Mus musculus: one gene and its partner. The protein of the gene in region 1 purifies or fractionates together with the protein of each later gene. This does not show direct contact. Links are inferred from orthologs where the notes say so. Each region holds a gene or a part of one and is shown on either strand. Other genes may lie near its edges.

What was found. The genes of interacting proteins can lie anywhere in the genome.
Region 2: the proteins of Atf2 (region 1) and Atf1 purify together in Homo sapiens (affinity purification with mass spectrometry; 3 studies listed by BioGRID and IntAct, with this or other methods). This does not show direct contact. The link is inferred for Mus musculus from reciprocal best matches to the Homo sapiens genes ATF2 and ATF1.

What each region holds. Positions count from the first base shown.
Region 1 is NC_000068.7:73,889,917-73,893,663, reverse strand, and holds the start of Atf2 (cyclic AMP-dependent transcription factor ATF-2), read left to right. Parts: upstream 1-1,024; 5' UTR 1,025-1,189; exon of another isoform or gene 1,190-1,256; intron 1,257-1,304; exon of another isoform or gene 1,305-1,700; intron 1,701-3,747. UniProt on the Homo sapiens protein: Transcriptional activator which regulates the transcription of various genes, including those involved in anti-apoptosis, cell growth, and DNA damage response.
Region 2 is NC_000081.6:100,227,083-100,230,805, forward strand, and holds the start of Atf1 (cyclic AMP-dependent transcription factor ATF-1), read left to right. Parts: upstream 1-776; 5' UTR 777-1,000; intron 1,001-1,144; exon of another isoform or gene 1,145-1,523; intron 1,524-1,785; exon of another isoform or gene 1,786-2,248; intron 2,249-3,723.

The DNA.
Region 1 (3,747 bases):
TTAGAAATCCGTCTGCCTCTGCCTTCCGAGTGCTGGGATTAAAGGCGTGAGCCACCACGCCCGGCTCGCATCCAGTACTGTTAACCGCTGAGACATCTCTTCGGTCCCTGAAATTTGTATTTTTATATCTAACTAAGTAAAGGAAATTTGATAAAAGAAACACTCATAATTACAAGAATTTTTCTCTAGGAAAAAGATCGTTGCTTTGTTTTAAAATATGGTGACATGGGGGTGGAAGACGGTGTATTTCCTTTTGATCACTGCCTTTGAACATACTCGTATGTAATATACCATATACTTGACATAGGGTGGTGGGGAAGATCGGCTCCAGTTCTGGCTTAGTAAAATCCGAACAAAGAACTCTCTAAGAAAAGGTTTCTATTTTCTACGCAGGGCTGACTTATTTTGCTTCAGTGTGCACATGGGGGCGGAGGTGATGACTGGCAAACCCCGACTCTCCAAAACCTTAAGCGTAGCTCTCTCTCCAGCTCTGGCTTCTCGGTACACGGAGAGTGGTCCAGAAGCGCTTCTCCCTTCATAGTCTCATATCCCTAGCGAAGTCAGAAACCAATACGACAGAGACATCCGGCGCCAGGGCTGGGCTCCTTTAGGCTCCCCGACCTCACCTTTCTTCTCTCACACCGCCCACGCCCTCCTGCTCGCTCCTCCGCCACCTGCGCGCGCGCCCCAGATCCGGTGCAGCTTCTCGTGCCCGCCTCCCGACGGCTGCCAATCACAGCTTTCTGCAGTTCCCTGGTTACCGAAACAACGGTCCTTGGGCACCTTGGCCACGCCCCTTTGGACCTGCTTCCCGCCTTTCGTGCTTTTCGCCCAATCACTCGCGTCCGAGTGTTCTTTGGTTCCCGCCTCCCCGCCCCCGCCCTCCTGAAGACCCGCCCTTTTTCCGAGGCACGACGGAGTCACCTGACCCGCGGGCGCTCCCTCGGTGGAAAGCAGGAAGGGGCGTGTGCGTGAAGGGGAGGGGCGCAAGAAGAAAGCGGCAGGGATGCCGGGAGTGGGGCGGGGAGAAGGTTTGTCAGTCGGATCTCGCGAGAGAGGACGGAAGCCTGTGGGAGCCCGTGGCCTTTAAAGTGCGATTCAGCCCTCTCCTCCGGGGCTAGTTTGTAAACACGGCCGGCCTCCGGGCTCGCGGGTGGCTGGCAGGACCATGAATTAGTGACCTGGAAAGGTGAGTAATGGTGGAAGGGCCACGGGCTTGGAGGTTGTAGGGATGCAGAGGAAGAAGGTGCTAACATGGCGACGTCGCTGCCTGTAGTCTCCACCCCCCGCCTCCCACCCCTTTTGCGCCCCTGCTGTGGACCCCAACCCTACGGACGGCGGTGGCCGCGTTGCCGCCTCTGGTCTGGCGGAGCGACCGGACCGTTAGGTAACGCGCTGCGGCTCCGGCCGGCCCCTCCCTCGCGCGCTTTCCCAAGCCTGAGCGAGAAGGAATAACGGCTCTTCTCCGACCCCTCCCTCCGACTTCTCCTCTGGTGTGGTCACTTGAGAGGTCCCCGAGGCGCCCTTCGGATCCGCCCATCTGTCGGGGAGACCCCCGCCGCTAGTCCTTGATCGCGCTGCCCAGAGGGCCCACGCTGGGCTCCCCACCGGGGACTCGGGCGATCGAGGGTTTGGGATGGTGCGTTGAAGGATTGGGAAGCAAGGGTCTCTGGCCTCGGTGGAACGTGATGGAGCCAATGGTAATGGAGAACCTGCTGGTGGTCTCGGCCTTTTCTGTCCTTTCTGCCGCCCTCACACTCCCGCCGCCGCCACCCCCCCCTTTCCAGGTGGGGCGGGGCTGAGGTGTGGGTGCAGGTTGATTCTGCTATTCCCCCCCACACCCCATTTACTTCGACCGGTGTTCTGCAGAGCTTTTGTAGGAAAATAATCTGTGCCTTTTATTACCCCAGGGACAAGGAAGAGAGGTAGGGAGAGATGTGTGTATGTCTCCCCGGGATGCTCACTCATTGAACCAGACCTTGGAGGAGATGGGAACTATTTTTATGCACATAGGTATTATAAAATTGTCTCTTCTTTAATGGAGACTCTTAAACTGGGAAGGTCGAGTAAAACTACCACCAGTATAATTGAGTAAAAGGGATACTCATGATAGACTCTAGGCCCATCGACTAATACCTAGTTTACCTTGTGGAAGTCACAGTTTCTTGGGGATTATAAACTAGGGACACGTTCACACCAGATGCAGGTAATGCTGTTTTTAACATCTGACCAAACACGGACTGTTCTGAGCTCAGTTTGTCCTGTTTGAAGAAATTCTTAACCCTTGGCCATTGTCAAGTAATAACCGTTCCAGGAATACTACTCATTTAGCGCCAAATGGCCTGGGTCTCTAGCACCCAAATGGTAAGACTTTATAAAGGCTTATTTTAAAACAGTTAACTCTAGATGAAATAAGAGTCTTGTATTTAAATTTGCTAAACCTATTTGAAGAATCCCTGCAATAAACTTTTTTCAAAAGTATAGAAATATTTTGTAGAGTATGCTAAAAACATATCCTATATAAGCCAAGAAAACTAAGTACATGGATCTTTAAGGCCATCGATAGTTGAGTGATAATTAAGGTTCTAGGTCTTAAAATCATTAATAAATAATTGGAGAGATGTTTAGAGATGTTTTCATGGGTATTTTAAAATTTTAAAGCTATATTGTTTTGAAATGATACTATCCATTAAATATTTCATGACTAACATTAAGTCAAGAAATCTAGGTTTGTTTTTGTTTTTTTTTATTTTTAAGAAAACTTGAAAACTTGAGTTTTAATTATTATCTGTACTCTCCTAATCAATTATATTGCTAGATCTAGTAAATAACTTTACCTTACATGCTGTTTCCACTCATTTTTGACTTTAGTCTCTTCCAAAATGATATGTGTTTCTGTGAACTGGTATCACTTTCTTTTGTTACTCTTATTGAAATGCCCTTAGAAAAGTAAGTCTTATATTTAAAGCAAAATTTGTATTGGAAGCTGGGCGTGGTGGCGCACGCCTTTAATCCCAGGCAGAGGCAGGCGGATTTCTGAGTTCAAGGCTAGCCTGGTCTACAGAGTGAGTTCTAGGACAGCCAGGGCTACCCAGAGAAACCCTGTCTCGAAAACAAAACAAAACAAAAAAATTTGTATTGGAACCCTCCTTGATTAGAAGTCAATGAAAGTAATTAGATAATTCAATGAAAGTGATTGGATGATTCAACTGACCTGTATGAAATTAATACATATAGTACTCCCTGTATTAACTTGTAGCCTACAAAACCACCTGTCATATAGTCAATGGTTTTAACATTTTGTGACTATCTTATATTCACATCTATTTCTATAGACTGAAATCTTGTCTGAAATGGAACATGTTCTATGTTTGTTTTTAAGATTTATTTATTTTTGTGTTTTGCTTGCATATATGTATGTGTACCATTTATGGGCAGTGCCCTTAGAGACCATCTTAAATCCTGAATCTCTAAAACTAGAGTTACATATTATTATGAGCCACCATGTGGGTGCTGGGAACTTATCCCAGCTGCTCTGCAAGAACAACAGGTACTCTTAACTGCTGAGCCATCTCTCCAGCCCTTTGTTTGCTTTTCTACCGTGCTAGGAAAGCTCTTTTTATTTTGTTGTTTCCAGACATGGCTTATCTCTGTAGTTGGCTATCCTGGAACTTGTTTGTAGACCAGGCTGGCCTCCACCTCACAGAGATCCTGCCTACCTCTACCTCCTGACCACTGGGACTAAAA
Region 2 (3,723 bases), on another chromosome or scaffold:
TCTATGAAGATAAGAGATAGCACTGTGCCTGCCAACCCAAAGTGCTGGGGTCAGAGGCACAGCTGACCACGCCTGGCAATTTCCATAAATTTGATAGCGACTCCAGAGAGGTTGGGTAACTAGCCTAATCAGTCAAAACCCGAGTACTTCTATTTAAAGGTAGTCATCGGCCTTAGCTTTATTGGGCAATATTTGCTGAATCACGGTGCCTGGAGTCTAATAAGCCCTTCTAAACGCTTCAGTTTTACATCACATCGTATGTTCTGAAGGCTCAAAACCAAAGTCTTCACTCACCCAGTTATTAGGAGGGAAGGTGTCAAATACAACTTCTCAAAACATTTGATAATGCACTTTGTAGAGGGCATGCTAAAAACAAGCAAGCGAGCGAGCAAACCGCTATGATGCCCTAGCAGAACCTTGCCAAGGCTGAGATAAAGGCATCTGTATGAAGGTCAACTCCCCACAAGGACATGCTAAGTCCTTTCCGAAGCACTAAGATGGCAGCGCAAGGTTTTACAGTTACTTAAACAGAGCAGGTAGCCGAGGGTCAGCTGTCCCGCCCGCGAGAGAGGGAGGTCAGGACCCCGCGCCATTGCCCCAAGATCCCCGGAGCTCCCCCAGCGTCCCCGTGGCGGCCCGCGCGCTCCCGAGCTCGCCAAGATGGCGGCGCTCACGTGACCACGCGGTGACGCAGCACGCCGGCGCGCAGGCCACGCCCCTCCCCACGCTCCCGCGCACTCCTCGGCCGCCCCCCCCCCCCCCCCCAGCCCCGGCCCCCGGCCTGTGCGGATCATGCCGCCTGCGACGCCCCTCGCGGCCGGGAAACGGTAGCCGCGACGGTTGGCTCTCGAGTTACGCTCTCCTCCCGCACCCCGCCGACCCCTGGGACGCGCGCCACCTCGCTGCGGTGCGCGGCTGGCAAGTGAGGAGTAAAGTCGGCGCCGCCTGGGACGGGGGAGTGGAGCTTCCTGCCCCGGGCAGCGGCCAGGCGGCCCCGCGGGTGAGTGGGGCGCGGCGGAGCGCGAGGCGGCCCGGGCGGGAAGGCGGCGCCGGCGGGGACGCAATGGCGGCCACGCGCCGGCCGGGGGTCGCGCGCGGCTCGGCGGGCGGTGGGGGAGGGGCGCGGTGGGGGTGGGGCCGGCCGCGCGCTTCCGGTCGCGCGCGTCCCGAGCGCCCGGGCGTTAGGCTCCCCTCGCCTCCGCGGGGCGCGTTGGGAGAGGCGCCCCGGGCCTCCCGCGCTCCTTGGCTCGGCCCGCGCCGCATGGAGGCGGGAAGAAAAGCCGAGCGGCGGCCTCCGGCAGGCTGCAGACGCCGCGGCCTTGGGCTCCCGCCTCCATGACTGGGAAAACCGAGGCAACCCGCCCTGTGGCGGGGCACGGCGTTCCTCTCCTTCCGGGAGTCTCGCCGCTGGCCGCCTAAGTTATGATAGAAACTTAAAAGAGTCTCGGTAGCCGCCTTTTCTTTTTGAGACGGGATTTGTTGCGAAGAGTTCATGGTGCAGGACTTCCAGACGCGGTCGCCGGGTCCGGTTTATTATAGCGTTTTTAGTTTTGCCTGAGACAGGGCTTACCAAACTGGCCTTAAATAAATTTATATATACATACACACACACATACATACATACATACATACATACATAGTCCAGGTTGGCTTCGAACACGGCTTATGTTAGGATTTTTTGTTTGTTTTTTTGTTTTTCTTATATGAGTACACTGTAGCTGTCTTCAGACACTCCAGAAGAGGGAGTCAGATCTCATTACAGATGGTTGTGAGCCACCATGTGGTTGCTGGGAATTGAACTCAGACCTCTGGAAGAGCAGTCAGTGCTCTTAACTGTTGAGCCATTTCTCCAGACCTTCAACATCTTTTTCAAGGAAGGAAGCTAAGACGCCTTTTCCTCACTCACCAGCTGAGAAGTCTCTGTACTTGATATTTATTGATATTTACTGTTCACTCGTGACAGTCTGCTGGTCACTGAGCACACTTTACTGCAGACAGGCACTGCCTTTAGAGAGCTTAAAGCTGGGAGAAACAGGCAGGCTAGTAAACATAGCTGTTAAGTAATTCAGAGATAACGAGCCAGGCAAGACAAATGTATTAAAATAGGACCTGATCCAGGCGTAGTGGCACAAGCCTTTAACCCCAGCTCAGGCGGCAGAGGCTCTAAAGACCAAACCAACCTCCTACCCCTCACCCAGGAAGGAAAGAAAACCACAGGACTTGGTACAGTAAGGAATGGCAGTAAGAGGTATTGCTGGGCCAGGAATGGTGGTGGACACAGCCTAGCTTCTGGGTTTTTGCATCCTAATGTGAGATCTGAAGTAAATACAGTTTCTTTAGGTCTCATCACCACAAAAACAAATCTCTTCTCTTGATATTTCACGTAGAAAGTCGCTTTCTTTGTAGGATTTATTAAAAGCACCTTGCCTTGGGCTAGGGATGTAGCCTGCTCTGTAGAGGACCTGGGTGTGTTGGCAGGTTCTGCTTAATTGAGGCAAGCGGGGATGTCTGGAGAGTCAAGTTCAAGAAAGGTCACCCTCTGCTATGTATCAGGTTTTGAGGCCAATCTGGGCTATAGAAGACCCTGTCCTAGGAGGGCAGTGCCTTGCCTTGTGTGTGACAGCCATCCATAGCCTGCGGACTTCTCCGTTTCCAGCATCTTGTTGGTGATGCATTTGGACTGCATTTCATTGCCTTCCTGATTCTGCCCAACTGTGCATCATATTATGATAGCTGCTACTTGGAACTTAATTGTTTTTATAGAAAATGTACTCAGATAGTGTATTTTGTTTAAAAAGGTGTCATTTTGAAAAGCAGACTTTAGGGCTGGCAAGATGCTCAGTGGGTAAGAGTACTGACTGCTCTTCCAAAGGTCCTGAGTTCAGGTTCTGGTGGCCATATGGTGGCTCACAACCATTCTTGATGACATCTGATGCCCTCATCTGGTGTGTCTGAAGACAGCTACAGTGTACTTAATTTGTAATAATAATTAAAATCTTTAAAAAAAAGAAAAGCAGACTTCAGTCAAGCATGGTAGGACATACCTATGGCCTTTTTCTTAGCACTCAGGAGGCAGAGGCAGCCTGGGCTTTAAAATCCTGTCTAAAAAACAAAACAAAAACCTCAGCCAGATTTAAAATTTTAGGAATGGGGAGACTGGCTGCTCTTCAGAAGAAGACCTGGGTTCAAGTCGCAGCATTCTCATGGCAGCTCACAACTGCCTGTAACTAGCTCCTGGGTAATCCTGTACCCCTACACCCTACACACATGCAGGCAAAACACCCATGCTTATAAAATAAGTTTGTTTGTTTTTAAGTGTATTTGCAGTTGATAATTCAGTAAAACAGAACAGGTACAGTTTGTTGCTTATAGTGAGAAAAAGGTGTTTGTTTGTTTGTTTGTTTGATTGAATTGGGGGGGGGTGGTGTTTGTTTCTGTTTTTTCAAAACGGTTTCTCTGTGTAGCCCTGGCTGGCCTGGAACTCAGAAATCCGACTGCCTCTGCCTCCTGAGTGCTGGGATTAAAGGTGTGTTCCACCACGCCCGGCTAAAAAAGTATTTTATGTGTATGGATGTTTTGCCTTCAAATGTGCCTGTGTGCTATGTGTTCCTCTGGAAGCCAGTAGATCCCCTGGAGTTGTATATGGTTTTGAGCCACTTTATAGGTGCTGGGAAGTCAAACCCAAGTCCTCTCAAAGAGCAGCCAGTGTTCTCAACCCACTAA